4 linked regions of the Alligator mississippiensis genome follow. The protein of the gene in region 1 interacts with the protein of each later gene in a biochemical or structural test. Links are inferred from orthologs where the notes say so. Each region holds a gene or a part of one and is shown on either strand. Other genes may lie near its edges.

Region 1 (7,819 bases):
CCAAGGAGGAAGGAATCCCCCACCCTTCTCAGGGCTGCAGCAGCAGAGACCCAGGCAAGGATCTTCTACCCAGCCCTTTAAGGAAAAGGGTACAGCTGTAAATTGAATTCATAGTCCCTCCAATTAGAATAGCTTCTTGGATATCAGCTGACTCGGAGACAAAGAAAAAAAAATAGAACAGACTGAGCCTGTAAGGGTGGGAGGAAGAGAAGAAAGGAAACCGAAACTTGAAGCCTGTGCAAAAGAGGTGTGGCCAATGCAACTGCCAGGGTAGCAGCCAGTGTGTGACGCTAGCAGATGCAGCAAAGTAGGAAACGGGTGAGCTAAATATTCACTTTCCCAAAGTTACTTAAAGAAAAAGAAGAAGGGTGCATGTGCCTGAAAGCTTGCAAATAAAGAATATTTTTTGCAACTCTCTGGTTGGGCTAATAAAAGATATCACCTCCCCAGGAGTTCTGATTTAAAAAAAAAAGTCACACCAACCATGCCATACCTAGGTATGCAAGCAAATCCACAGCCAGCTGACTCAAAGGCAGTCAAATAACTTTGATTTGATACAACAAGTTCCCCCTCTCCTTCCTTCCACCTCTGTCCCTAGAAAGATTTGAAATAATCAGCTGCAAGATCCTAAATCTTAAGATTCAAAAATCCCTTCCAAAGAAACAAGTGTAAGTGCCGAGAGCTGGTGTTTACACAGATTTCTGAGTTAGGACAGCTTGGCAAATTAAATCCTCTCAAGAACATAAATAAAACAACAGGAAATTAGAAGGTGCTGGTTATAGCCATGTCACTCTAAAGACATAGACAAACACTGCTCTTTTGGTAAATGTGGATCTTTTATTAGACCAACTGAATAGTACAACGCAGGCACAGCTCACTCTGGGCAGAAGGCTCTGGGAGCGGGGACTATGCCCTCCTGCTGCTCGCCCAGCCGGGGCAGGACAGTGCCACTGCAGTGCTTCAGACAAGTGACGCACAGCATCAGAAGCCGCTTCAGCCTAACCACACCTCCTGGACAAGCCATGGCCTTGCCCTGCTGTGCCCCGGTTGGGCGAACAGCCGATCATGAGGGCAGGTGCACGCACCCAGGTCAGGAAGGGGCTGGTGGCAGGCTATGGGGAGTTTTAGGGTGGCTGGAGCTCCCCCATAGCTGCCGCTTCACTGCGCTCTGCAGGGCCGGCCTGGGAGCACATGCCCGATCCCATGCCCTCCTGGACTGGTGGCCTGAGCCCCCCCTCCCTGAGTCCCGCGCCTCCCCATCACAGCTGGGCAGCTTGTCCCAGCCCCAATCCCTCCCTCACTGCGGGGGCATTGATCTGCCCCACCCTTCCCTCCCCCCTCAACAAACTTACCAGCTGGAGTCAGCTGTGTCCAGCGTGGTCAAGGACTGCTGCCTGTTCAGTCTACAGCCAAATCTTCAAACTGGTGCCTAATCTCTCTGAATCGATTCGGAGGCTTCCAGTTCAATTTGGAGCTTTTAATGGGTCTCCAGATTTGATTCTGATTTGGAGCTTCAGCCACCAAATCGGGCCGATGTCCTCTGAATTGAATTGGCTACCGAAGCTTCGCACAACCCTGATGCTAAACACATGAAGCATACCTATAGTGAGGAAATGGAACTAATAATTTCTCCTGCTGCATTATACAAGGTTTTATGAGAAGATCTTATACTTCTATACACCTAAGTTTTTTTTATCATAATTGGAAAAGTGAAGCTTTTCTACTTTTTCAACTCCTAGTTACAGTTGCAGAAGTTTCAGCTGCACTTCTTTAAATAAATTCTGTCATTGAACTGAAACATTAGCTTCAGTGAATATGAAGAAGACGTTCTCTTTGCACTTGAAGGCAAAAGATGATTTAGCACTTCAAAGGTGTTAGCCAGTGACTTTCAAGTTCTACTGTTTACCATCTTTAAAAGATGAGCAGTAAATATCTGATTAATATTTTCAAATTAAAAACATAATTGCAGTCAACAAAGACCTCAATCCCCCTTGTCAGGTTCCAGATTAAAACACTGTACACAGGCATGACTAATATGCAAGAGATGGTCTAGTAAAACAGTTTCTAAAAAGGAAAGCACCTTGCTAGTCTCTTTTTAAATAGGCAGAAATCAACAGGAGCTGAAACAGAGCAAAATTTCAAGCCTGTCTTCACTTGCATTATGTCCAATCCCATACAAAAAATGCACACATTAACAGTACATTGTTTCTCATTATGAAAACAGTTAACTCAATGGTTATTAACTTTTATAGACTCTAGGCACCCCTCAGAAAATGTCAGCACTTGGTTTTCACCCATTTTTGACTACAGAAAAATAATAGAGCAATTCTCCTGTTACAAAGAACTCAGAAAGATGGCATCACGTCACAATGTTTTTAACACCATGGATTTCCTGTTTGAAATCTCTGGGTTTATCTTGTGAAGTACGTTTGCACTTAATGCTAAAATTGTGTGCTACCCTCAAAAGGATCTCAAGTCACTCTGGATGAGAATCACTGGGTTAACCAGTTCCATATGAGGGCTAAGGCAGAAATGTCACTGAAAGAATCATCAACAATAGACAATTATACTTTTTCAGGACTCTGCTATCGGAAATTATTAGGGAGCTTGAAACTACACTGAAAATATAAGCATTCAAGGTTAACAAAGAAGATACTATTTTTATACGGTATATGCTAGATTTAGATATAGCACTATATGCAACAGTAGTACTGAATTGTTAAAGAGAATAATTAAACATGTTCTGCAAGTTATAACCTAGACTGAATTTCTGAGGGATCCTGAAAATATACCTGCATTAATTCTGAACACAAACAGCTCAACTATGCTAGAAGTTACCAGGATAGTCCTTCAAATGGTGTTGTAAGCCTATGGCAACTTTAATAAAGATTTGGACAGTTAAGTATGTTGCTTCAAAAAAATAAAAAAGAAATTAAAAAAAAAAGGGGGGAGGGGAGGAAGTACAAAATGCATACAAGATGTGGAAGCCAATAGACTGACGTCCCTGAATATAAACACACCTGGAAGCCAAATGGTCAGAGGCTGCATGCTTTCCACCCCCACCCACCCCGCCCTTATACCAGCTCAAGCCAAGAGCCCCTTGGGCCACACACTGCATGGGCACTCCTCACCTCCTCCTTCACAGCTGCATCATGCAGGCAGGAACCCCAGTTTCACCCTCAGGTCCCTGGCCCTGCAAGCTGCACTGTTCCACACTGCCCCGTTCCCTGGGACAGAGGCAGGAAGTGGAAGCTGGAGGAGGGACAGGGAGCCCTGAGACTCTCTGGGTGCTGTGATAGTGGGAGCGACTGTGGCATAGGGGGCCACAATTTAACCCCTAATGAGCGGCCAGCTGGACAGCCCTGACTTAAAGCAACAGAATCAGCTAAGCATTTAAAATGATGAGTGTTTGTAAAAGCATGTTCATTTTTAGACACAGAAATAAGGTTTTAGTCTGGACTGTTCCTTTACAGATTGGATTTTTGTAATGCGTTTATTTTAAAAGATCAGAGAGAACTTCACTTCATTTGCTCTTTCACAACCAGAGATATAGACTTTAATAGGGTAACCATGCTCCTGCGTATTCCATATATAGTTAGCATACACTAGGATATAATAAAACTGAAAACTTAAAAGATAGCATTGAAATAATTTAAACATTTTCCTCTTGCATGTGCCTCAACAGTTCCCACACCAGATTATCATTAGTCTGGAATAGGTTTCAACCCCTCAGGCATTTCTATCTGCTCCTCACCCATCCTAGTCTGAATCCATAGAAATCACTGCCACTACAAATATCTTTCTCCTATCTTCCTTCCTTCTCTAACTGAATCACATTCCAGCCATTTAATCCCATATACAAACACCTAATCCCTCACTTGCATGACTGCATTTATTCCTCGTTGTCCCCTTCTCCATTTTATGTACTATCCTTATGTTGCCAACCATGCCTTCCCCTCCTTTTGTAGATTTTTTTTTAGCAATAATTATCCCTTTTTAAAATCGGTTACCTCTCAACATCCTTCCTTTGTCTTGCCCTATGATCATAAACTCTATTGTCTGCAGCAAGTTACATTGTAATTCACAGGTCTAGATGTTATACTCTAGATTTATTTATAAAATTGTGCAAAGGCACCTCTGTTAGGCACTAGGAACCTACTGCATGAATTAAAATATATGATAATATATTTTATGAAGTATTGTGCATGCATGAATATCCAGCCACGGAATGATTAATGAGACCTTCTGGGAGCTCTGACAACACAAAAGGCAATAGCCTAATGGTTCAGTAATAATGGCAACTGAGCCATCTTCATTGATATTTTAGTGTATATAATGCATCCAGAAGGCCATGGAAATAAGGACAGGTTAGCAAACTGCTTACAAGGCCACAGTTAAAAACAACTGAAAACCAAATAATAAAGATATTGACAAATGAAATTGAATTATTCTTGCTGGAAATCTAAAAGTTTGCTGTGACTTTTACAAAAAGAGAGAGAGAGAAAATTACAGAAGGAACATGAAGAACTTTGTAAGACGACCCTATATTTACTGTTTCAACGTTTCTTAAAATGTTACGCCAGTAATTCTTAGCCAGGGAACTGCAGCATACTGGGATACCTTGAAACCCTTTCAAGGGTGTCACCAAGTGCCACGCAATGTTAGCAGTCTTAGGTGTGCAACCTTGATTCACAAGATAAACCCAGAGATTTTAAATAGAATTCAAAACACTAAAAACATTCTGACCTGTTGTGGTCAGAGTTCTTTGGAACAGAATTGCTCTATTATTTTTCTTTAGTAAAATTTTGAGTGAAAACTAAGAGCTGGCATTTTCCAAGAGGATGCCTCAAATCTATGAGTCATTACATTAAATAACCATTTTACAAATGAAAAGTCTGTACCTGCTATCACAGGAACCCAACATTACTAGAACTGGGGGGTGAGGGGCAACTATTTTGTTCACTTGCTAGCATCTTAGCTACTGTCAATTCATCCTTCACTTTTGTGTCATCCTTCACACAATTCCAGAGGACCTACATAATCAACAGGAAAAATGGGGCAAAAAAATTAAACAACTCTGGATCAGATGAATTTAATGATAAAGTTCTTGTCTTTCAATGAAACATTAAGCACATTTATGCCTTTCAGTGCTTGATGTGCCAGAAAAGCCAGAAGCCTTTTATTTATTTATTTTTAACCACTCAGGACATGGTGCAGAGAAAAACTGAGTAACTGTTAAGTCAAGTAGCAACCAACTACATACCCACACTATATTTTGGTTATTTTGGAAAGGCAATGGCTACAGTTAAATGTAATAATCCTGAAGCTTTTGACAGTGTAGGTAGAAACAAAGGAACAAAACCAAAAAGACGTGAAAGGCTCCGATTCTTCCATTCAGTTACATTAGAAAACAAGAAACGTTTGATGTGTGGCCTCTACCTTGCCAACTTACTTTTAATGAAAACATTTGTGTCTCAGATATACTATTTTCCACCTACACTGAGACAACACAGCAGTCTGAAGATAAGAGACACATGATCTTAGCCCACAAGAGGCAGGCATGCGGAAGATCATTACACTGGATTTAAAATCTGTTATCTTATTGCTTTATTGGGACGCCAACAGAATTCATGTTTACTATAATGGTAGTCTGGTTCAAGGTTTGTACAGAAATTGCTGGCACTTTTTTGGCAGAAGTCAAGCTGAAACAATGCAGATCAAAGAGGATAGCAGAACCAAACCTGAATTTATTTTGTGAATTATACAATTTCTCTTTTATAAAATAAAAAGAACAAACCAGCAGAAAATGTATGTTCTGGCTTTAGGGTTGTTTTTTTTTAAAAGACACAATATTGAAAGATTTTGTGGCTATATCTTACATAATATGAGAATACAGTATGGCTTTAGGAAATTACACCTCCTAAAATTTACAAGTTTATTTTGAAAAACTTTTAAGTTACTAACAATATTCTACTTTCTTGTACTTAAAAGTGCATACATTCAAGGATCTCACACATGTCCCAGATATGTTCTAAACAGTCTTATCGCACAGAAATCACAACCAGGGTTTTGTTTCCAGGGAAAAATATGTCTAAGCAAATTAATAATTTTAAGAATGATTTTAAGAAGAGCTCAGTGAAAAAAGCTACATCTTTTTTTCTGCAGTGTCAAGCCAGTATGATCTGTCAATAAGTTTCTTTGGCAGTCTTAATATTAATGGTGGCCTCCCCGAGTTATCTACAAATGATGTCCTGGGAGAAGGCAAATGGCTGGATGCTTCCATCTGTGCAGTTTCAACATTGATAGGCAGAGTTTCAATTCCCAATGTACTACTACTACTACTACTGCTACTACTACAACTACTGCTGCTGCTAACAGCCACAGCAGGAGTCTGCTCATCTGATATTTTTTGGAGCCGGAGATCTACATTTCCAATGTCATCAGCCAGGTCTTTCCTACTGTTAGTAATACGATCCTTGTTCGATATTGCAGTTTCACCAGTTACTGCATATACATCCTTATGATTGCTTGTGTCCAGGAGAGATGATGGAGATTCGTTTTCTCGCTCGTTTAACTGAGTTATGGTTGTCCAAGAAACACTACTGTCACATTCCACAGTTTCACATATTCCAATCTCTTTATCACTATCACTGTCAACTGTAATCACGACTGGAGAAGGAGGTGCTGAATTACCTGTATGGTGTCTTCTGTGTTTTTTGTGCTTTTTCTTTTTCTTTTTATGATGCCTAGTTGTGTCAGTAGCCTTTCCTTCATATACAATCTCCACACTCGGGCTTCTGATTTTTTTCTTTCTCTTTCTATGCTTCGTTTCATTGCTTGCTTGGTTTTCTTGAGGGCTGTTCTCATTTTGGTAGCAACCACTGTACTTTGACATAGGTTTCTGGTGGCCATTTCCTTCTCCTTTAGAAGGGCTTGGTGCCTTCTCCTTGTGCACACTCTCCAAGTGGCGCGTCTTGTATTTCCTTTTTCCACCAGGCTTTTCACACCGCATTCTATCAGCCCCTCCAGATGTGGTCCTAGATCTATTACTAGATCGACTCCTTGACCTGCGTCTTTCATAGCAGTAATACTGGCTTTCATTGTGTCCTCTTTGATTTCGTGTATTTGTCCTTTCCGAAAAAGACTGTATTCTATATTCTGGACTTGCTGACTGCCTTGAATAATGAGCTCTGGCCTGAGCCCTTCTTCTATATGAGGACTCATAGCCATCTCTGTCCATGCGTCTACTGTAGAAAGTGTATCCCCACTGATACCTATTTTGGTAATTTTCTCTTATATAATAGTGATCACTCTCTCTACTCCTGGATCTTCTTTTACTATGGCCATTACTGCGGGATCGTGACCTGCTAACACCTCTAGATATAGTGCTCTCGCTACTTAGAGAGAGAGTCAGGCTTTTTCTGGATAAACTTGTGTCTCGAGTTCTTGATCTCCTTCTGTTTCTTTTACTTCTATGCCCGCTACTATCCCTGCTTCTTGGTAATCGGTTTTTTAAGCTTTCCTTGCTACGATGTTTCCTTTTGGATCTATGGCTGTGACGGTCTCTGCTATGAGAGTGCTGGGAAGACGACTCGGAACTCCTTGACCTCCTCTTTCTGGATAATCTATGGTTACATGGAGAGCACACACTGTTTTTCCTGGTAGAGGAACCCTGCAAAGAGTCCCAAGTAGATGCATCTCTTATTTTATCTTCCTCACTCTTTTCCGCTTCTGCTGTCTTAATCAAGGGTGACATGCTGCCTTTACAGATACTTTTATTATCTTTAGATACTGGGGAGTGCAGTAATGAGCACCCACT
Region 2 (7,335 bases), about 86 Mb from region 1:
TTGCCCTCTGACCCTTTTGTTTGCCCTACCTGCTAAATCATCACCAAGGGAAAGGATGAAAGGCTTTATATCAAGGTATATTAGATAATATTCCTATACTGCTCTGTATCTTGTCCCCACCACTCCCTATAAAAAGTTTGGATAGGTTTTCAGCTATAACAAACACTGGTGTATATCTGAGGTTCTAACCTTAAAACAATTTGCCATTCAACATTATTTGTTCAACAGAAATGTAAGTAAGGAACTGGTTTACTTAAGAACAGCCAGTGTGGAGCTGAAAAAAAAGAAAGCTAAACTTCTCAGGATATTGTTCCTGAACTTTGTTGAAAGCCCCCTCCCCCATGCCCTCCCCAAAAAAGAAAAAGCAATATATGATCTGGACAATTGATTGAAATATCTGGTAATTTTTTTCAAGTCCTAGCTTTATATAACACATTATTTTTTAAGACCATGGGAATGGCATGGAAGGAATGAAACCAGAAAGGGATGATTTACTTGCATGCCTGTCCTGCAACAAGCGTGTCACAATTCACCAGTGCAATGTATTCCCTGTGCTTGCTGGAGTAAACAGTGCAAACAAAGCTGCTCAGATACAAGGACAGTAGAGCTTTGCATTTTGAGCTTCATTGAAGCCACACACCATTCACTTGGAGAAGGGAGCAGCAAAACTGGCTATATGCCTCCTTTTATGGTATACAGATTCTGGGGGTGGCTACTGATCTGACCAATCCTTAGGAAGCCGAGGAGAGCCAAAACAATCAAGCCTATAATGCCACCCTCTCCCCCCATACCTCTTTTTACCTAAATACTTGCTTTCACCATCTTGCAGGTTGATTTGTGCTGCCACACAGGGCTGTCTGCATAAAATACACAGTTGTAAAGAGACTCATGTGAGTACTCCCCACAGGTTTATTCTTTTTTCCTTAGGCTGCTATTAAGGTAACCCTGATCCATACCTGAGATAAAGTTTTAGGTCTCAAGTTAGGGGCAGCAATTGAGGCATGACTCAGATTAACATTGCAATGAAAGCAAACCCTAAAACTACTCACTGGCAATCTAAATGACTTGTGTCAATCAGATCTGGGAGATAATTATTGAAGTTAATGGCTTTAAAAGGATCAATCTGTGTAATTTATGTTAGATTTCCATCTAGTAGCATAACTGGGGGGAGAGGGGGGATACAAAAACAGCAGCTGCTGCAGCTGCCAGTTGGCTCCACCACCACAAGTAGCTGCACTACCTAGAGTCCAGGGCCTGTTATGCCTCTATTTCCACCTTCTGTCCTTCCAGACCTGTTCTGCCCCTTTCTCCTGCCCCCAGGAGGAGTGGAAAAAAGTTGTTGTTGTTGTTCTTCTGGTTTTATTTTTTTTCATGGTTTTGCTGCATTTTTTAGGAGGAGGAGGGTTTAAAAACATCATTCTATTTGTCTGTATTCTGGAATGACTATTTTAAAAACATTTTAGCCAGCTGTCTTTATTTAAGAGTGAAACTGGTAGTAACAGAATATATTTAAAAAAAATGCACTACATTAAATGTGTTCCTGCATAAAAATAGTATTATAGTCTTTACAAACTGTGAAGATGAAGTCATTATTTACATGCGGATTACTAAATAATGAGCCTATCAGAAAACAGTAAGGAGAAATGACACAAAACCACACACAATGTTATACAAAGCCAAATAAAATGTTACAATACAAATATCCACTTGTTACACAAAACCAAATAAAATGGTACAAGTATCCAATCTAGACAACCATATGAATAACGATATTCATCATCTCTCATCCATCTAAGTAGGCTTCCTGGTTGAACAGTCTATTTATTTAAACCGGAGCCTTCAGCTACATAAACCTTCTGGAGCAAGAGTGCCATAAGTATACTTGTTTACTTAATCCACTTTCCAAGCACAGTAGGCTAAGCCAAATGGAGGCACTCTTATTCATGAAGAATGGTGTCCAGACTCTGTGTCCATCTGAAATAGCTATGCCAGAATGACTCCAGAGGTAACAAATGAACCTTAATGAGGGCTATAGAAAGAGGATGGATTGGCGTAAAGGCCTTGTGCTTATCTCTATAATCCTTGCGTGCATTTTCCTTTATAGAGCAGGGGTTCCTAAACTGTGGTGCATGTGCCCCTGGGGTATGCAACACATCTCTGGGGGGTACACTGGAGAAATTGTGTAATGGCGGATTTGTCATGATAAGAATGATTGGCATTTAAAGGATTAAAACACAAAACCTATGCTGTTAGGGTTACATGGGCAGCTAGTAAATCTGGAAGGGGGTAGGCAATAAGAAAAAGTTTGGCAACCTCTGCAATACAGCTTTGGGGTTTTTTTTCCACCCCAGTTCATGTTGACAAACTCAAGCAGAGCCAAAATTTCCAGCCTTTGCTCAGCAGAGGGGAGGGACTGTCCATGTCCATACAGAGGACACTCCTCACTCCACTCCAGCCCTTTGCCCCCAAAGATCTGAAAACACTACGGAAACATGGGCAGGCAAGGGAGAGGGGGCACCTTGGGACCCCTGCCCTGCCAGCTGCTCTAGCTCCTTTGTTTTTAAGCCTCAAAGGTTACCTGGTTCTTTTAAGTGCCTGTCCCTGGCTGGGGTTAGCTGGCAGGAGGAGCCCCGGATCTTTGCTTTTCCTCCGTGGCACAGCGGGCAGGGCAGGGAGCCGTGCGATCCTCTGCCCCTGCAGAGCTGCCCTTCACGGGCGGAGAAACGCTGCTGTTCCCGGGGGAGCAGGCTGAAAGCCCTGCGACGCAGGCACCGTGCTTCAACCTCCCTGCCGCCCTCCCTGCCCCGCTCCGCGGCGCGGCGGGGCCCGGCCGCACTCACACGTGTCCGCACTGCGTCCGCACGGGCTGGTGCAGCACCTCCAGGCAGATGGAGCAGTCGAAGGACGACGGCGGCCGCGGCTCGGCAGCTCCGCCCGGGCCCCGCGGGGGCTGGGGGGCGCCGGCCGCCGCCTCGCTGCGCAGCGCGGAGCCCATGGCCGCCGCCTGCCCGCTCGCCCCTCCGCACCGCCCAGGTCACTCTGGGCTGGCCCGGCCCTGCAGCGTCCTCCGCCTGAAACCCGAGCCCTGCCGGCCGCCCCGCTCCCTGCCCCCAGCCCTGCAGGGCCCTGCTGCTCTCTGCGCTCCCCTGAGCTGGGGCAGGACCCGACCCTGCTGCTTATTGCCTGTGCTTCCCAAGGCCCTGCTCCTCCCTGCGCTTCCCCTGAGCTATTTAGGTGGGGATACTTGTACCAGGTGACACTCTGCACAGGAGAGCCGTGCCCAGCAGAGCACCCGAGCTAACAAGGACCCTCACTTCAGATGCCCAAGGCTCCCCTTCGCATTTCCTCTTTAGGTTAGATGTGCTTCTGAGCAGGCCTCTCTCAGTCACAGTGCTGATGCCCGGGGTGGCGTGACAGACCGAGGTAGCTGGGATAGCCTGAAGTCGAGGAGAAGGCGTCTGGTGAAGGAAGCTTCAACCCATGAAAACTTGTGCTTTATGTATATGTAGCATATATATATATGTCATAACCAAAGTGTGTGTGTGTGTGTGTGTGTGTGTGTGTGTGTGTGTGTGGCCTGTATAGATACATAGGGCACAAACTGATCTCCCCACAGCTGTGAGGGAGCAGCCCCTGAGCTGGGACAGCTCCCTCTGCCCCCCGGGGTACGGGAGCAGGTCCTGATCTCTGCCCAGTTGGAAGAGTTGCGTCCATGCCACATAGGGATCCAGACAGGTCCCGATCCCCACATGGCTGGAAAGACTGCTGCCCCTGCTGCCAGCACACCTCTTCCGGGCACATGGGGATCAGGACCCATCCAGATCCCCACTTGGCAGGGAGACGGCTTCCCCTGCAGTGGGCACAGCTTCCCCTACATCAGGGCTTCACCAGGCAGCCTGGGCTGACAGGGAGCAAATTGCGCCTGGTCAGACTCGGTGTGCTACTGCACAGTAGGTAATGCACTGTTAATTTAGTACCTCTATTTCCTGCTATTAGCTAATGGTGCATTAGCCTAATTTACTGCACAGTAAATCCCATGCACGTATAGGCAGTGACATTGTAATGTGCAGTAAAGCGTCTCGTATAGATGTGCCTGGTGTGCTTAAAATGGAAGCAACAAGCAACAGATTAGCTATGCCAGGGACCTTGATGCTGCTAATGTAGGAGGAACCGCAATTTCTTAAAATTTGTCCTTAGTGTCAAAAGGTTCATTGTTTCAGAAGCAGACAGCTATGCAGCAGATTAACTTCTGGAAGCACAGAAGAAATACAAATTACATCCCTCCCTTTCCTCCCACTTCTGCCTCATGCAGCCATTGGGGCAGCTGCACTGGAGTGCAGATGCATCTGAGAAGGCACTCATCTGAGAAGACACTTGTATTTAGATATTTAAAAAACCCTTTTCTATTAGTCATGCTAGTTCACAGACCCTTTAATACATGAAAGGGTCAAAACTTTTGGATAAGACTGATTTTTAAAATCCAGCAGGCTGGAATCCAAAATATCAAACAAATATTGGCATTAGCAGAGCTGTTTGCCTCACAGCAGATTATACTGTAAACAGAATACCTACATGTAATTACTTTTACAAGTTGGTTTGTTATAATAACCCAGAGAAACCTCTCATGGGTGACCTGTAAAGGATTTTGGAAAACTGGGTTTGCGAACCTTCTTATTTGTATCTTTTTGATATATAAGGGAGGACAGTAAAGTTCAGTTAGCTTTTATGTAAGGAAGCTGTTGTTGCTTATTTGTTTGTCTTTTGACTGTCATGTATCACAGGTCTGGTCTTTCCCTAATTTCAATGGAGGATTGCTTATGTGTGTGTCAGGGATATAATTCTCCTACCTTCACTAAATATGCCTGTAGTGTTGGATCTTTCACAAAGATATCTTTTTTTCCAAAGTACATAAAAAGTTCTTCCAAAAGTTAACAAAGAATACTGTTACAAGTGATCTGAATAAAGACCTTTCCACTCTCAACAGCTCAGGTTTCATTTTATTTTCAAAATCATTGCTTCACTACCTCTCCATAGAGTCTTCCTAGATAAACAAGACATGATTTTCTACTGTAAGAAATGCATTGTTTGTTTGTTTGTTTTTAAGAACAGCCTTTAGTTTTCTAAGTACGATAAAAATAAATAAAAATGGGAACTTAATTTTTTAAATTTTTTTAAAGTTCTCTTTAAAATGGGCTGGGCAAAAGAATCCTGGAATGAATCCTCATGTAAGAAGAGTAAAGAAAAATAATATTTCACCAGTTTATGCTTGCTTACACTTTCTTACTATTTTTTTTAAATCTGTAAATATTTTGCAGTCTGTTAGTCATCCTGGTATATCTGCTTTTTGCTAGTTTCCAAATCTCAATGAGTTTGGAGGAAGATTGTAGGTTATCAGATATAGTTACATTGTTGTTTCACTGATTAATGGTCTGTAAAATAAAATAACTTCTGTACTGGTGAAAGGTCAGTATATTTATGCAGCATTGTCTTAGGATACAGTTTAGTAATGATTTGCAACATTACTTTATAAATAAAAGATTTTTTTTAACTCCTTCTTTTGAAAGATAGTTTTTAAAACAGCCCTTTCGTTACGTGAAAAGAAGGTGGGGCAGAGTTTTGAAATTAGTTATTCAAAGGAAATCAGGAAACAGGTTATAAACAAGGGCAACAGAAATCTGTAAGAAATCGTAAAGAAATCTGAAGTTATCTTCCATTTCCTCCCTATGTCAGTGGAATTTCTGATTGTTTTCCTACCTGGTTCTAGCACAGTGTACCATTTGTTGTTCTTTTTTCATATTAAAAGGAGCCTAATTTGCTTAACATATTTTGAGTTTGTCAATATCATCATGAATTTGGATAAGTATTTTCTGTAGTTCAGTATCTTTGCATAAAAAAATGCAACCTGCTCTTTAATAAGAAACAAAAAGGGAAAAAGTATATTTGGCATAGTTTTATCCAACACTGATACAAAAGACTTTAGAAATGCATGTGGCAAATAAAAGTAATATTATTTATGAGAAGAACACAGAGAATGTCAGTGTCTTTGTTGCTGGATGCAGGATGTAATCCTTCATTCATTGTACTCAAAATATATAATGAAGTTAGAGGAAGTTTTAGGGGATGGACGAATGCAGGAATAAGAAAAAAAGTTTTATTGTTCCTGCCAATCCTCTCATGGAGTGCAGGTGTGCCTCACATGGAAATTACAACTCAGTGGATTTACAGGAGAGGGAGGCTCGGACACACAGTGTATTTCTGTCATTTTAAGAAGTAAACTTATGATGCACAAACCTGAGCTGGTGTAGCTCACTTCAGTTCGGTGTAGAATTACTCAGGGAAAAATAATGGGTAAAACTACATTGAGGTTAAATACTCCGGGGTACATGTTGTGTGTCTGCAGCCATTCCTAAAGTAGCTGTCTGCTCAAAATACACAGGTGGCAAGGCACTGTAATAGTCACCTTCTGTCTGAAGCTACACAGAGGCTGCATCTACACGAACCGCCGACTCCACAATTGTTACTTTGCAGTCATTTAGTACCAGTGTTACTGCACAGTCCTGTATCCGCGCAGTTATTTTTAGATGCTTCTGCGCAGTAGCTTGTTACTATTGCACAGTAGTGTTGCCATCAAGGTTCATGCCCAGCGACACTACGACACTACGGCGCTTTGGCAATGAGCCCGAACTTCAGTGATGCAACATGATAACAGTACCATTAGCCAATGGAGTGTTTATCTGTTCAATTATCTCCAAAGACAATGCAAGAAAAAGCAATCCGTGACTGACTAGAGCCTTCCTGGTAAATTAGACTATTCTTAAAGATTAACCACACTCTGACAATTTGAACATGAATAAAGTATGAAATCCATTAAATCTCACTTTATTAAAAATACATATTAACAAGGAATTAAGCATCTATCTGTAATGTGTGGAACAAAAAATTGCTTTATCACTGGAGAGATAAAATGGAAGTCTCATACAGCTAGTAGTAAAATGTATAGAGGTTTAAAAAAGTGTAGGTGATAACTTTCTAATATAAAAGATATTCCCCTTTCCTCCCCATGGAATAGCTCTATTTCAGATCTCATTATAATAGATAAAGAAGAACTTGATCGATAGATAGAAAGTTGGTGTTTTTCTTGGAAACAGTGATTATGACCTGTTCACATTCCTTAGGAGCAGAGAACAGTCCCAGACACAATATATTGCTGATATGTATTGTAAGCAGTAAGTAATTCCATTCCATTGCAGGATATGGAAGCACTTTCTGGGTTTTATGATGGGTAAGTGAAAGGAATGACATCTAGAATCCTGTGGAGGAAAGCGAGACATTACA
Region 3 (7,887 bases), on another chromosome or scaffold:
ATTGCTGTGTGTGGCTAGGAAGGATTATAGAGGAAGAAAACGGAATAGGGACCCTATTAAGTCCGGAGGAGGGCCTTCCACTAATGAGAAATTCGGGATGGAGTAAGGGGGCAATCCTCATAAATACCATGAATATAATTCCGGGAGGCATGTATCCCGTAACTTTAGCTGGATTAATTGCCACCGAGGTAAAAAATCATTTGGGAGCTCTAAACTTTCCCCAAAATTTAGAAGGGGGTATGAATAACATCAGGTACATAATATGGGGAATTAGTTTTGCCCATTGGACAGCACCCCCAAACACCCTAACCGCAGTACAGCAGAGATTAAGGAATGATTGTTTGTTTATCAGCACTTCTGAACAAGTAATTTGCTTGTCGTTAGAGGTAGCAGCAAATGTACTGAAAACTCCAGGAGTAAAAGCCTGTCTACTGCCGCTGGTGGGGCAGACACCCTGGGAGGTAGCTGATCAAATAGGAAACATAGTGCAGGAGGAAGAAATCAAGAAAAAGCCCAAATTAACAATATAGAACACCATGTGCACGCTCCTTACCATCCACAATCTAATGGGGTTGTGGAGAGACACACTGGTATTTTGAAGACACAATTGAAAACAAATTTAAAATCAATTTCCTTTAAAAACTGGGATGCAGTATTGCATGTAACCTTAATTCAGTGCAATAATGATAAAGCCATGTGGTTGAAACACGAAAAGAAAGAATTTCCAGTGTGGACATATAAGTATAAGAAAGATGATAAAGTGTGCATACACTTACCCAAAGAAGAAAAAGTAACAAAAGGTGGAATTGATCAATTGGGGAAACTTCCCAACATTTATTTTGTTTAACTGAGGAAAATCAAACACTAACCTCATGAAGCTAGGTCTCATGAGGACCTAAGCAATCATTTAATTTTGTTACAGGTGTCAAGGATTGAAGTGGCAACAGTGGGAGATCAAGAATGAAAATGATCCCAGAGATGAAAACTGGATGTGGCTAACCAATGCAACATTATGCAGACCAGTACCTAGACCACCCAACGTGATTCTGGGATATAATGCTGACGTATGGAATCTCACAATATATCGTTTAACTTGGAAACTGGACAATTAGTGATGTTGTAAAAGGACTATGGAGAACACATTACTTACCTGAAATTACTCAACGCCAGCAAGATCCTCAATCCACCATCTGCTTCGGTGTTAGAAGGACTAGCCATGGTTGGAAATGCAGTGGGGAATAGTGTTAAATCTACTATACATGAAATAGGATCGATAGGACAACAACTATGGGACACCATAAAGACTGTATTTTCGGGAAAATGGGTGATATATGTTATAATAAGCATCATAGGATTGTTTGGGTTAATCATTTTAGGAAAATTAATGTTGTGTATGTTGTCATGGAATTACCGTAATAAGTTTGCAAGGCTTAGTAATGAAATATAATTGTAATCAAACTGCCTAATGGGCACAGGGGCATGTCATATTGAATGAAATAGTTTGAATGTTTGTAATGGTTGCCCATTAGCCAGTTTCAGGAAGAAGACAAGATTTATCTTCTTATCTAGGCCATTGTTTTGGTCTACGTGCAGAAGGTCCTGACTTTGCTCAAAGTCTTAACTTTTGAATTTTAGCTTTAGAGGCCTTTAACAAAGAGAACCTAAAAATGACCCTTAAGCAAATATCCCGAATTCCGAGAGATCAAACCCTAGGGCCTTTGAAAAAAATTGGAAAGAAAAGGTCACTTGCAGTGGTATGGAAGTTCCCCAAAGTAATTAAAATGATCAACAAAAGAAACTAATTACTAAGCAAAAGAATCTGTTGAGAAAGATCCGAGCCCAAATTTGGGAGTAGTGACAGGTTTGGGTCAGAGGGGCCTAGGACGGCAACTCACTCAATAAAAACTGTAACCTACTCTTCCAGTTTGGAGGTGACTTCACTTGCAGAACAACGAAGGAAGAATCGCAAGTGTAGACCAGATCAGACTGATCACCTGAACCACCCTCTCTGTGAACACGAATCTCTTAGTTCACGCTGAAGCTGCAGAGCACCCAAAAGGGACTGAAGGAAGGGGACTTAGTCCTATCAGTATTGAGGCCAGCCCATTGAATCGTATTGCTGAGGCGAGCCCATTGAACCGTACTACTGAGGCCAACCCATTAAATTGTACTACTGAGGAATGAAACCATATTTAGGTGTTTGGCTTCTCGGAATTCTAGGATTGTAAGTATATTATGAAAAATAATAGTATTGATTCAAATTTAACTTTTAGTTGTAATTGTAGTTGTTTTTGTAATCTAATTCTTATAGCATTGTTTAGGAAGGAAGTGCATTCGGAGCATTGTTTCCGATATATGTAATTATTGTGTTCTTAATGTTTGTGGTATTTCTTAAAGCTAAGCAGTGTTATATGCGTAGCAAAGAATTTAAAAATAAAATTGTGTTGTATGAATTAAGTGTGTAATCATTGTGAAATCGTGCAATCAACTAGATACTCCCCCAGCCAGTGCATCAAACGAATCAGTAAGTTGTGTGGGATCTTCTCTATTCCATAACCCACTAGAGACACAAGACTTAGGCACTGTTGCCAAGATGAAGTTTCCAAAGCATCGCCAAGAGATTAGATTCCAGTTGTCCTGGAAATGATTTTGATGGGATAGTAAGAGAAATTATACATTTGAGTTATACATTTGAGTTGCAGTTTCTCTTGCTAAACACTCAAATGTCTGGACTTTCCATCTTGGAGGAAGTTAAGACCGTTTTGGTACGCACACCCTGGTAAAACAGGTACTTTACAAACACATGATTGGACTTGACCACAGCCTGGAAAGAAAACACTTTACTTTCAGGCAGACTCAGCCCCACACACAGTATTAGTCACCATTTGCATTTGCAGATAGCAGCTGCTGTGTGTTCTTGAGTTTTCTATCAGGAAGCAAAACGGGAAGTGGGTGAACACCGACCTGAATGGCATGAACCTGCCTTACTGAAGCAGGCAGATGTGGCCAAGCCCAGAGCCCAATCTGGTCAGCCTCCACCTCCCAAAGTTATACCGTGCCTTTGGTTTAGAAACCAGACCGGCAGCTCAGGAGATCAGACCCTCAAAAGACGTTCTATGGTTACAATCAAGTCGGGCACATTGCAAACCTAGCTTCCTAGTGGTGAGACTCCATGACTTCTGCAAGCTGGACACGAAGCACGTGCAAAAAAAGAAAGACAGCTTCCCTCTGGGTGTGGAGGAGGTTTCTATTTTTATTGTGATCGAGTCAAGTTTGTTCATCCCTCCCATAAAGAGCTCTTAAGAATGTCTAAGCGATAACCTTCCCCCCTGAGTCAGTGTGAGCCACTCCCAGAGCGATGCTAGAGCACAGCTTGCGGGGAGGGGGGCAGAAATCTGAAGGGGCCTGTAAAGATCTTGCCCACTTGTGTTAGTAAAGCTATCATGCCACTTTTTTCTGCACATGTAGATGTTCTTCTGCTTGGTCAAATTCAAACTAGCAATACAGGAGTCACACAAGCGCACCACAATCTCACTTAACAAAAGCAAGGTTTGAGCTTTCGTGGCTTTGTAAACAAGCTGATTTTTTTTTTTTTTAAAAGGTCTCATGATCTTTAAGCCAAGTGTATCAGGGGAATCTGACTCATGCTCTCTAAATGCATGGGGCTGGCAAGAATACGGATAAGGCTTTTCATTCCCAGCCCTAGGCTGCTGTATACCATGCCCCTTTTCACACTTTTGCCACTCATCCCTACCTCTTGCCCGTGTTACCAGGTTTGGTCAGCAACCTTTCAAACCTTCTTTGAGATCCTTGTAAGATTTGGGAAGTGCAACAATGTCTGACTATTGTCAAAACGCTGGTGCGCAGAAAATGTCATGTTCAAATGGAACGGGGGGAAGTGGTATGCGCTTGGCTATGAGCCATTTGCTCTGACTGTGCTGCTGGTCTAAATTAAGGCCATTTCTCCCCCTGTTTGAAACAGGCTGGCATGATAAAAGAAGCATTGAAATTCTAGCTAAAGCAGAGCTTTTCACTTGCTCCTCCACCTAAGGCAGCAGACGAGGGTTTGGCTCTTTTGAAGAACAAGCAACATTTTCCTGGCCTGAACAGGGCCCCAGGCCTCCTGCTACCAGATTCCCGAAGGCAGCGATTCCCAAACTCTGACAGATTGCGCACCACTGATTAAATTGACACGACCTGAAGTACCACCAGCACATTTCTGTCCTATAAAGTAATTAAAATAAGCCTGTTAACGCGTACCCCTGACAGGTCATCTGTGTACCACTGGTGGTACCCGTACCGCAGACTGGGCGCTGCTGCCGTAATGCTCGACCTTTGGCTTTGGAGGGCTGGGTGGCCAGCTGAGGCGCGTGGCCCTGATCCAGCACCTAGAGCGGGCACAGCAGGGCCCTATCCGGCTGCACAGAGGGAGCCAAGGGGCAACCTGGCCTGCAGAGGAAGGGGCACGGCCGGACTCCCACCCAGCCGCGCAGGGAGAAGGGGTCGCTGTGCTGGGAGACGGCGCGTGCTCCCCACCACGTTGGCAACCCTGTCCGGGGGGCACCTCAAAGACCCCCGGGGCTAGGTTGGCCAGCCCGTGCAGAGGGTGAAGACCCGGGAGGCTGCGGGGCGGCTCGTCCCGGCGCCAGAAGCCCCGCCCGGCCCGGCCGCACCTCGGGAAGGTGAAGGATACATTGTATGCACAGCTACATACAATGTATGCACATGTGTATATACAATGTATGCAAAGATTCACATACATTGTATAAGATATATAAAACAAAGAGCAAAAAGTTTTGCATCGTCCCACAGCGCGGATTGAAGAGCCCCGCCCGGCCCGGGCTGCAGAGAGCCCGGCCCGGCCCCGCTGCACGTGATTGCCGGGAAGTGCCTACCTCTGCCTCTGCCTCCTAGTTTCACTTTCCGAGCCCGAGCCGCAGAGCCATGGCCATGCTGGCGGGGCTGGAGGACGAGCTGACCTGCTCCATCTGCCTCTGCCTCTTCGAGAGCCCCGTCACCACCCCGTGCGGCCACAACTTCTGCGCCGCCTGCCTGGACATCACCTGGGCCGGCCTGCGGGACGCGTTCAGCTGCCCGCAGTGCCGCAGCCCCTTCGCCTCCAAGCCCGAGCTGCGCAAGAACACGGTGCTGTGCCGGGTGGTGGAGCAGCTGCAGGTGGGCACCAATGCCCCCGAGGGTGGCGAGCCCGAGGGCAAGAAGGGCTGGGAGCCGGAGGGCAAGAAGGGCGGCGAGCTGGGCCCCTCGCAGGTGGCTTGCGACAGCTGCCCGGAGGCGGTAGCCGCAGTGCAGACCTGCCTCACCTGCATGGCCTCCTTCTGCGCCGAGCACCTGCGCCCGCACCACGACAGCCTGGCCTTCCGCGTGCACGAGCTGAGGGCCCCGGTGCACGACCTGCAGCAGAGGCTGTGCCGGGACCACCACAAGCTGCTGGACTTCTACTGCCCCGAGCACCAGAGCTGCATCTGCTGCATCTGCCTGGTGGGCCACAAGGCCTGTTCGGCCAGCTCCCTGCCCGAGGCCAAAGCGCAGAAGGAGGTGAGCGGGTGCATGGCGGTGTGTGTGCATATTGGGGATGAGGACCCCGGGGAGCAGTCAGCAGCCCACCAATTCCAGGAGGATCCCTCCCTCCGCTTGTGGATGGGGCTCGAGGGAACTTAAAGAGCGCAGGCCTCGAGCCCCCCATCTGGCTGCAGAAGTTGCAGGTCTTTCCTCTCAGCTGGGGGAAGAGCAGGCTGCAAGATGGGAATCCTCTCCTTCTTCCCTGCTTTGTAGACAGGACACTTCACCTGGGAGCAGGCTGCTGCTTGGTTGAGGCTGCTGTGCCCTCGGGAAGAGGTGTTGGCAGCCAGCAGTCATCCATTTTGGGGCTGGGCTTGCTGAGCCGTTACTTGATATCCACCCTTTCCCCTGTATCCCTTGTGCCCTTCCCAAGATCGTAAAATTGCCCTAGGAAGCAGGGAGGAGCCTCTGGAGACTGGGGCTAGGGGCAGCTTGGGAAGCATAGGCTCCCCAGGGGCCACAGGAAGGGTGGGCAGGGTTAGCTATGCCACACCGCAGTGGCTGCACTGTCTCTGCTGCCCTTTGGAAGTGCTTTTTCCACCCAGGGCAGGAGCGTAGAAGCAGTCTTGGATGCTCAGAGTGCTGCCTGCCCGGTCACAAGCCCTGCTTTGCCCAGGTGCGTGCGCTAAGCGGGGACACAAATAGATCTGCAGCTGTCATGGCTGTTGGCTCTGAGCTCCGCCACATCTGGCTCCCCAGGCACGGTGTCTCAGCTGGGGACAGCGCTTGAACGCACACGTCCAGGACCATCGCGAGATGGCGGAACCGCTCTGCCCTGGCCCTTGCCCTCTAGCAGCAAGCTCAGTTCTCAAAAGGTGCTGAGCCCCCAATGGTCCCTGCTGAATCAGAAGCATTTGGGACCACAGAAATCAGGCTGTGTATCTGAATCTAGAGGTGCATTGATGTTCAAAGATGCTGTGGGAAGAAGCAGAGATCAGAAAGACGTCTCAACCCACATAATTAGGAGAGAACAAGTTGGGGCTGGAGGCGAGGGTGCGAGGGGAAGAATGGGTGGAAATTGCAGCAGTTGGGGGCATGAACAGCTGGTGCATCCGGTGCTGGGTATTGCCCTGTTAGAGGAGGGCCCTGCCCTATGACTCCTTCGCATGCTCTTGGCTACGTCCCCGGCGTGCTTTAACCCCACAAGCCCACACAGGTCCTGGCTTGGGTGGTACCACTCAAGGACTTCAATCTGACGCGCAGCTTTAGGCATCCCAGTCTGACAGCTAACGGCTTCCATTTGTATTTTGGTAATCACTGGAGACTAGCAGTTGAATCCTGTGCTTTGTTAGTAAAGTGGCAACTCTTGTGACTCACTGAATCTCAGCAAGGCCTGCGGGAAGGGTGGGCAGGAGCATGAACCTGCAGGAGACAACACAAGTTTGTCCCCCAAGCACTAGCCCAGCTTGTAGCCAGCTCCTTCCCAGTGGCAGGCCTCTGGGTCTGCCTATACAGAAGAGAGCTTTTGCCAAAGTTTTCCTTAAGACGTTAAGACGTGGGGAGTTCAGGAGCTGCCTGGTAAGGCTGTGCAAAATTTCACCGGCAGTTTCTTTTCGACCTCGAAATGGAGAGCTTCGAAACAGCTTCAAAATGAAATGAGGCAAGTCAAAACATTTTGAGTGTGGAAGCTCAAGCTGGGCTTGCCTGCAAGGAAACAGAAACTAAAGTAAGGAGAGGGAGGGGGAAGCGGAGGAAAGGAGTGCTCTCATTATTGACTGTGCAACTGGCCAGGACTTTGATCCTTTCCTGAGATCCCTTCCAATCCCAGTGCTCTGGGGGAGGGATGGGAAAAAAAAAAAAACAGCATAAAAAAAGGCAGCGTTGTTTGAAGTGCCCTGCTTTCTGCATTGGTGTCAGTTGAGTGAGGGCACACCTTAACACGTACCCCCCTCCTGCCCATGTCACAAGTTTTGCCTTTCAGCAGCCAGAAGTGCAGGGCTCCTGGGTTCTGGGGCCCTGCACCTATCTCCTGGACAGCTGGCAGGCTTCGTGGCCGCAGCAGGGGCCAAAATCCCTGCAGCTGTCACCCCGCTGTGCCTTAGCGCACACAGTGTTACCCACGTCACGAGTTCTGCTTGTCCACAGCTTGAGGTGCAGTTCCCCTGCACCTAGATCCTTGAAACTTGGCAGGCTTCATGGCCCCAGAAGGGGCTACCATTCCTGCAAGTTTCATCCAAATCAAGCCAGAAATGACAAAAATTATAGGCTGTTTTGAGCTCCCCCATTACAGCCTATGGGTGGGACATCGAAACAGCAAAACTGTTTTGATGAAACGAAATGAAACAGAACAGCAGTTTCGAATCGAAA
Region 4 (7,612 bases), on another chromosome or scaffold:
TCTGAAAAGAGCGGAACCCCTATGTCTTCTATGGAAGACAGGATCTGCCGCTCAATCAACAGCATGGAGAGTTCTCTCTTTTCTTTGTTGTAGACAAAATTTTAAATAGTAACTCAGAGTTTCAGATATACTGAAAAGGACACAATATGTTAATAGGAACAAGCAAAAAAACTCAAAAAATAATAACATTTTTAAAATGTTTTTTTTAACACAATTTTAAAAAATGAAATCTTCATAATTTTACTAGGAGGAAGCACCTTTGACCACCTGAAACCAGAGGGCCCCTGTACACACCATGGGTTTTTTAATCCTCATTAAATTAAATGTTTATAAAATTTAAACTTGTTTATTTTGGAGCATCACACCTGTGTTAACACACACTTAAGTTTTCAAACGAATTAAGCTGGGTCCCAGTTCAGCACTGCTTCCCCCAACCCACCCTGTGCCTGTGCCCTGCAACACAGCTGTGGAAGCAGGGAGCTAGCAAACAAGAAAAAAAAGAAAAAGCCACACAAGAAAAAAAAAGTGGAAGCAATTCGAAAGTAAAAGCAATTTGAAGGGGTGAACTACAAAAAAAAATATGCAGTGCCATTTGGTGGACAAAGAGGCTCCTTTGCACATCTTTAGGTGCCTTTGTGTTTGCACCCAACAAATCCATGGACATGAATGATGCTTTAATTCCCAGAGAGCCAAACTAAACTACAACTGAGGAGTTTTAGTTTAATGCACAAGATAGACTTTTAAAGCATGGGGAAATCCTGCTCATGCAAACAGACACATAGTTGCAGCCCATGAAAGGGCAAAAATCATGGTGTGTACATAAGCCCAGAGATACCACTCCTGCCTTTGTTTGAGGTAATTATCTTCACAGAACCTCACATCAACGCTCAGAGGCCTCACCTGATAAGAAATTCCTGCCCAGAGAAGCATCCCATCTACTGACTCCTCTGTTAAATATGAAACACCATAACCAGAAGGAAATATGAATTCATCCTGCTTACCAACAAAACTGTGAGGTAAACAGGCTATTCCAACTTTTCTCTGAGCCTAATCTGCATATAAAATGAACTTTTCCAAACAGGAGATTTTACCACCTTCAGCTCTCCTATGAAATATGAGCTTTAATTTCTACCCAGGAGAACTTTTGCAGTCTTTTCTGCAATGCCTGATGAAGGGTGTTTGCACTCGAATGCTTGCAATTAAAGAAATTTCTTTTTGCAGAAAATCTAGTTGGTCTAATAAAAGATAACACCTCTACCATGAATCCTGATTGCAAAAAAATAAAAACAAAAACTCAACCTGTGCTAATGAACACATGTCAGAGTGTGATCCGTTGAAATGGCATAGAACAGGAACCTGCCTGTAACCAGGACCTGTCACAATGGAAGCCCAAACCATCACTTGAACAAGGGAGATCTGAGCCACCAAGTTCAGTATTCCACTCAAACCTCCCCAGTTCTGGGGAACTCTGATCCAAGAACTTGGTTCAGACCTCTCTCTGCTTCAAATGTGGAAATGATCCCAGGCAGGCAAAGCTTTTCCAGACCCCACAAAACTGTAATAGAAACTCAACAAGTTTTGCTGTGTTTGCATTCATACAGTTCTCAGAGAGAGTTATCCAGTTTGTAACAACTCCCTGGAGAGCTGGTGACACAGCAGATCTTCTGCACCCCAGCAGTTATCAGGGCTGATAGTGTAGAGATAAGCTTTTACTGGGCAAAATGTTGTCACCTGCGTTATGCATGATGCTCTACAGATTCCTTGCAGTCCTAGAGAACTGATGTAGTCTTTGATTTTGCAGTGCTCTTTGAATAAACTCAGATAAAATCTCAACGGTTAAAAATAAACATGTGAATCAACACCGAAACAAAACCAGCCACCACACACCATTCAAGTCAGCGGGAGCTTCGCTGTCAATTTCAGCAGATGCAAGATGAGGCTGCTTTCTCCTTCCTTCCAATGATTTTTCAAAGGTAGGAGAACTGACACCAGCATAATTCATCAGGCTCCTGGACAAGTAGTTCCAAAGGCCAGTTTATGAGGGGGGACAAAGAGAAGAAAAGATGCAGATTGCTTGTGGCTGGGTGTGGATGAGCAAGCTGGGAGCAGTACAATGAGAATCTAAGCCAAATCTTTTTTTTTCCAATGTAAAAAACATTCAGTAGAAATAGTTCCCCTATCCCCACACACACGGCCACTTCCTCATTCCAGCTAGAAGAGAGGGAACTATTCTGAGCGTTTCAGCCTGATTGTCATAGATCAGGAAGCTTGGGCCGTCTCCCAACTAGCCTGATTTGCAGATGTAAGCAGTTCAGATAAGAAAAGCAACGGATGTTAGGCTGCTTGGTTAAACCAAACCTCTGAACTTCTTGACATGTCCCAGCACTAGTTGTGATAGGAGAGGAGGCAGTTCATTCAGCTGGTTCCCTGTATTCATTCAGCACTGCACAGAATAGGTGTAAAATCAGAACAGCAATGTTTCTGCTCCCATTAGCAGTCACACCGGGCTGTGGCACTGTGGGCTCCCAGCACTGGCATTGACCCACTGAGCAGGGCCATCCCTAGGGGGAGGTGAATCGGGGTAGCCGCCCCAGGCCCCACGCTTTGGGGAGCCCCCTGGAGCTGGGTGGAGCTGCCGTGGTGACTCCGCACTGCTTCTGGCGGCTTCGCTCCCCCCCGCCACAGATGGCAGCGGTAGCCTCTTCAGGTCTGGGGCGCATGGGATTGGAGCAGGGGTGGGGCCCTGCATGGGCTTGCCCCAGGCCCTGCACCCTGCTCGGGTTGACTCTGCCACGGAGTGCCCTTGCACCCAGTATTTTGGCTAAAACGTCAAAAGTGGCATCTGACTCTGTGCCCACCTCAGACAGAATTGGTAAGAGAATCTAGAACCTGTTCTTCCAGCTGAACTTCCCAGAGTCAGGAGAGCTCAGCACTTCTGAATAACAAGCTCCAGATGTCTCACCTCAGGCCCCCAGAATCAGTGGTTGCTTTGGAAACAAACTGGCGACTCCTCTGTATGTCAGATTCTCAAGCTGCAAAATGCAGATGATAACTGAGATTCTTGGAGAGTCTTAATGTGACATTATAGCAGTCTGAGTAAGGTAAAACTATCTTTTATTTTTACAGAACTTGGGATTTATGTTATCAGAAATACAAACAGCAAAGGACCTGAGACTGGTTTGTAATAAAAAGTTCATGTCCTGAGAGAAGGTGAGAAATCCAGTGAAGCCAAGAGGAGTTGCAGCTACTCAGCACCTCTTAATAAGTCCAGGTGTTCAGCTCATGCCTCATTTTCCTCCTGAAGTCAATGGTAAAAGCTGCACTGACTTCAACGAGAGCAAAGTTCAATGAGGCCAGTGCTAGGCACTCCTGAAAATGGCACCCAGTGGATCCTGACCCCAGAATACACAACCCATCATCTCTTGGTTACTGGCTTCATGCAGTCCATGTAAGAAGTGGCTGAAAGGCTGTAATATAATGTAACAGCTGCTGATGCCCCACAGGAAGTAAGGTCGGTTGTCTCAGGCTGGTTCTTGGAGTGCAGGAGGTCATACCTACAATCACCATTGCTCTTGTGAGCTAAACAGTCTCAGTAGAGAGTCCAAGGAACGAATATGTCCTGAAACTGGAATCCTTCTTACATCTGAGAGAAGACAACAGCAAAAACCAGCATCTTTCAGTTTATCGTAGTTTATCTTTCCTCTCAACTGATATATCAAATGCAACTTGACTGGCTGTCAGCGCTGCCTGAAATTGGCTTCTGATGCAAAGTGAATGAGACAAAGAAAATTAATGCTTCCCAGAGCTTTTTATGACTTACTCCATGTGACATCAAGAAGTAAACTCTTGGCTACAAATCCAGCTGAACAGACCATCTAAATACACCCCCACTTGGCCTGCGACAGCCTCAGGCAGCAGAGCCAGGGCTGCACCTCAAAGCCCAAAGAAGGAAAGGCTATGGAAGAGGACATAGCCAAAGGACTCTCTGCCCCAGCTCACCTGACAGCTGAATTGGTCTGCTGAGGCTAAGGGTGCAAGTTAGAGCCAGCTCCAGAAATGGGGAGCCACGACCCTCTATCCTACTTCCCTGCCCCAGGTCTCCTGTTAAGCAGAGCTGGGCTGGACAGAAAGCTGAACCCAGGACAGGGCAGGAATTGCACTTTGGACCTATAGTCTGGATTTGCTCTGCAAATTCAGAGTACTGTACATTACTTTAACCCTCTGAACCCTGACAAGTTGGACGTGTGCATCCCCCTTTCGCTCAGACCCTTCTTGCATTCATTCTCCTGCTCTCAGCTGTGGCAATAAGCCTCATTCAAGATGAAGGCTCCATGGAATATTTCCTGTGCAGTTGGGAGAGTTACGGAGGGTATGCTGAGGACAACTGTAATTCCATCTCTGTAAATCTCTTGGCTGGTCATGACTTTAAGCTCACATACTTCCATTTTCATAAAGCAACTAGGGCCAATTCATCCCTGTATTGGCACAGGGGCTAGATCAGCAACAGGCAGAGGCTGCGTGTACTTCTGTCCAGGAGTGAAGGACGGGGCTGGTGTAGTCTCCAGTTTGAGCTATAGCTACCTTGAACTGAGCCCCTGCTGCAGTGACCCCCACAAGCTCTGCAAGGACACCAGTCTGCCTGGGTCATGCCCTCTCCTGTCAACTCTGTATCTGCATCTTTAGAGGAAAGAAGCCTCTGTACCCACGGTGTTCACTGATATGACCTTTGTATCAGCTACCTGGAGAAAAGGTCACCATGTAACAGTGAACCAAGAAGGCCTGTTTCCTGGAACTCATCACTCACCTTAGGCAGTCATGGGCTGGGAAATTATTTCATTCAAAGCCTCCATCCACTCCTTCTGCTCCCTGTCATTCTCGCATGCAAATACAAACTCCCTTTTTGGTGTGACTATGGTGAGTCCAGCTTTCCACCTCCTTCCTTTGACTCCTCTGGGCAAGCTGGCCCGGACTTCGTACCCATGCTCTTTGCTTCCAATAATCACTCGGCCCGTTTCAAAGGCATCCTTAGAGGGAGAAAGCAGGATAGTCGCAGGTATCCACAGCTGCTCAAAGCTGACATCAGACTGTCATTTGATGGCAGCAGAAGTAGGTTTAATTTGGAGGGAACACTACCATGGCTCCAGGTATGATGGGACTCAAAGCATTCCCAACACAGAGGACTAGGAGAGCTGAGTTCTCTGGTCTTTGTCACCAACTTACTAACTTCTTGCCCAAGCACAAAGAATGAGGGCAAGGATCTGCCCTGTGACCTGAGGTGGCTGACTCCATACGCCCTAGTACCTGAGATACAAGTTCAGTCACTTAATACAAACTCCTCAAAAGAGCCAGAACAGTCAGCACCCTCCCTCCCAGGCCAGCTTTTCCAAACACCTCAGCTCCTGAGGTGCACAACTCTCCTGAAAATCTGCACAATTATTTTAGAGCTGTTGTGATCACATGCATGGTGGGATCAGTATGATATGAAGAGCCCCTTTCAAGCAGCTCTGGTCATGAAATAAGGAGTCCTCCTTACCAATGGGTCTTTAAAGTAGATCAGATTCCTCTCCTGTGAATCCAAGCTAAACCAGCGCTTCTTGAAGACCTCCTTGTGCTAGATAAAGAATAAGCTCTTTAATGATCCAGCTCCCAGGAGCAGGGCTCCACTCACTCGTGGCAGTTCCTTGGCCACCTCCTCCTAACTCTATGCTCTGGTTCACTCTCAGCTTCTCATGCAGTTCCATGACTCACCAACACACCTAGAGCCTCAGCTCTCTTCCTTCTCAAGGTTAACAATAGTGACACCATGAATTCTTTACCAATGTACAAACCTTCTGTTGGAAGCCAGAGCTGACACTAAACTATACAGCCCCACTAAGGGTTCAGCACCATTTCTCCCTGCTGTAAGCATTCAGTCAAGAAAAGTCTTGCCTTTTTGGCTGGTAAGAATTCACATGTGACCTGCTATAGTAAAGCTGCAGGATGAGGCACTGCAAAAAGGTTTGAGAGAGATGAAGTTTAATAATGACATATTCACTACCAGCATGAAGTATTTCACTGATGATCCTTTTAGCAGTACTGACACAGGCTGGAGGCTGGGTGTGTAGGCAGAGTCAGAGAATATGCAGAGACAACAAGAATGTGCACTGGAAGAGAGGAATCTGCCTGGAAGTTTCTGCTCTAGTGGGCATCTTGTGATGATGGAGTTGCAATCAACAGACGGGCACATGACAGCCACCCACATTCAATGCTAATACTAGTAACTTTGCAACTCCAGAAATACTTCCAATTATTCCATCACACCTGCAGTTTGCAACGAGCCCTCAAAGTTACATCTCATGCAAAAGTGGAAAAAAAAAACCCCCAGTGCTCATTACAAACTGAGACTCAGTCTATCCAGGTTAACTGGAATGCACTTAACTACAGCTCCCAGCAAACTGTTTAATCATAATCATGACAGCATTAGTAAACATTCTGCTTCTGGAAAAAAAGTTATGTTTGGCTAGTGCTAAGCTTTTCAATGGTGATCAGCCATGACATTCAGGTGGAATTTACCGTTGGTCCAGTTTTCTCCATGTAACCTTCTTTGAAATAACTCCTCGTAATTTTGGGTACAAGCTAGAAGAACAAAAAAGACATTGGCTACCATCTCATTTAAAAACTCAGCTTTCTCTTCTAACTTATCAGAGCAAATCATCAACAGTTTTTGTGATCTGTTTTATCTGTGTATTAAAGGGAGGTCTAAAGCAAAAACAAACAGATGTTTTTGTTTCTACAGGTCAAATTTTAAACAGATAATGTGGATGTATTTAGCTCCTGAGTTTGATCTACTCTTTGTGCACTAAGTACAGGATGTTCCTCCATTCTGCAATGACTTGATCATTGCAAAAAATAATCTACCATTTGGGGCTAAACTGAAACTGTTTTCTGGTTAAAGTGAACGATGAGAAGTTAATTTTACCCACACTCGGTCAACATGAACTATTATAATAATAATGTGCTGTGAAGACAAGCTCTGCAATAGCAACAAAAGTGGAGAGAGGGAGGGAGGCTGCAGTCGAAACCCAGAAATAGCCTGGACGCTGTCAGATTAGTTTGGGAGAATCCAGAGAGTGTCTGTCTCATTGTATAAGTAACATATTGTAACATTCCTCTCTGTATGGCGCTCACTGTGATGCTTCTTCAGGTAAATATCTGTGTGCTCTCATAAACACAAGTATAAAAGGGTTTGTGGCTTCTTGCCCAGGTGCCAAGAGATTGGTTGCAACTAGGTCAGTGGAGAGAGATGAGGAAGAGTCTTGGTGCTTGTAAAGCAAGATCATAACTGACTGTTAAGCAAGCTGTGGAACAAGGGATTAGAGAAATTATAGAAGGAAAATGCTTAATAAAAAAGCAAAAATGAAATTATGCTACTGATTTTCAATTTTGAGCTAGAAAAGCCATGATATATTTCTAAAATGAGGATTATGAGCCATACTCACTATTACTGCTTCCATTAAACAACTGCTAACATACACAAGTTGCATTTGTCCAACCACACATTGGCTCACCACTCAACCTGCGTGCAACAGCACCACTTCCCACATAGCACTACCTGCGCACGCAAACCTTACTA

Evidence for each region. The genes of interacting proteins can lie anywhere in the genome.
Region 2: of the proteins of RIGI (region 1) and RNF125, one has a biochemical effect on the other in vitro, tested with the Homo sapiens proteins (3 studies listed by BioGRID and IntAct, with this or other methods). The link is inferred for Alligator mississippiensis from reciprocal best matches to the Homo sapiens genes RIGI and RNF125.
Region 3: of the proteins of RIGI (region 1) and TRIM25, one has a biochemical effect on the other in vitro, tested with the Homo sapiens proteins (5 studies listed by BioGRID, with this or other methods). The link is inferred for Alligator mississippiensis from reciprocal best matches to the Homo sapiens genes RIGI and TRIM25.
Region 4: of the proteins of RIGI (region 1) and RNF135, one has a biochemical effect on the other in vitro, tested with the Homo sapiens proteins (6 studies listed by BioGRID, with this or other methods). The link is inferred for Alligator mississippiensis from reciprocal best matches to the Homo sapiens genes RIGI and RNF135.

Annotation. Positions count from the first base shown.
Region 1 is NC_081826.1:167,106,819-167,114,637, reverse strand, and holds the start of RIGI (antiviral innate immune response receptor RIG-I), read right to left. Parts: upstream 3,014-7,819; 5' UTR 1,353-3,013; intron 595-1,352; 5' UTR 494-594; intron 189-493; exon of another isoform or gene 1-188. Other genes in the region: E3 ubiquitin-protein ligase Topors, read right to left, coding at 6,146-7,819.
Region 2 is NC_081826.1:81,058,996-81,066,330, forward strand, and holds the start of RNF125 (E3 ubiquitin-protein ligase RNF125), read right to left. Parts: upstream 3,011-7,335; 5' UTR 2,996-3,010; coding exon 2,841-2,995; intron 1-2,840. UniProt on the Homo sapiens protein: E3 ubiquitin-protein ligase that mediates ubiquitination and subsequent proteasomal degradation of target proteins, such as RIGI, MAVS/IPS1, IFIH1/MDA5, JAK1 and p53/TP53.
Region 3 is NC_081831.1:7,643,653-7,651,539, forward strand, and holds the start of TRIM25 (E3 ubiquitin/ISG15 ligase TRIM25), read left to right. Parts: upstream 1-4,877; 5' UTR 4,878-4,944; coding exon 4,945-5,556; intron 5,557-7,887.
Region 4 is NC_081831.1:6,997,469-7,005,080, forward strand, and holds the start of RNF135 (E3 ubiquitin-protein ligase RNF135), read right to left. Parts: upstream 3,011-7,612; 5' UTR 1-3,010. Other genes in the region: ADAP2 (arf-GAP with dual PH domain-containing protein 2), read right to left, coding at 4,806-5,024, 5,534-5,611, 6,553-6,615.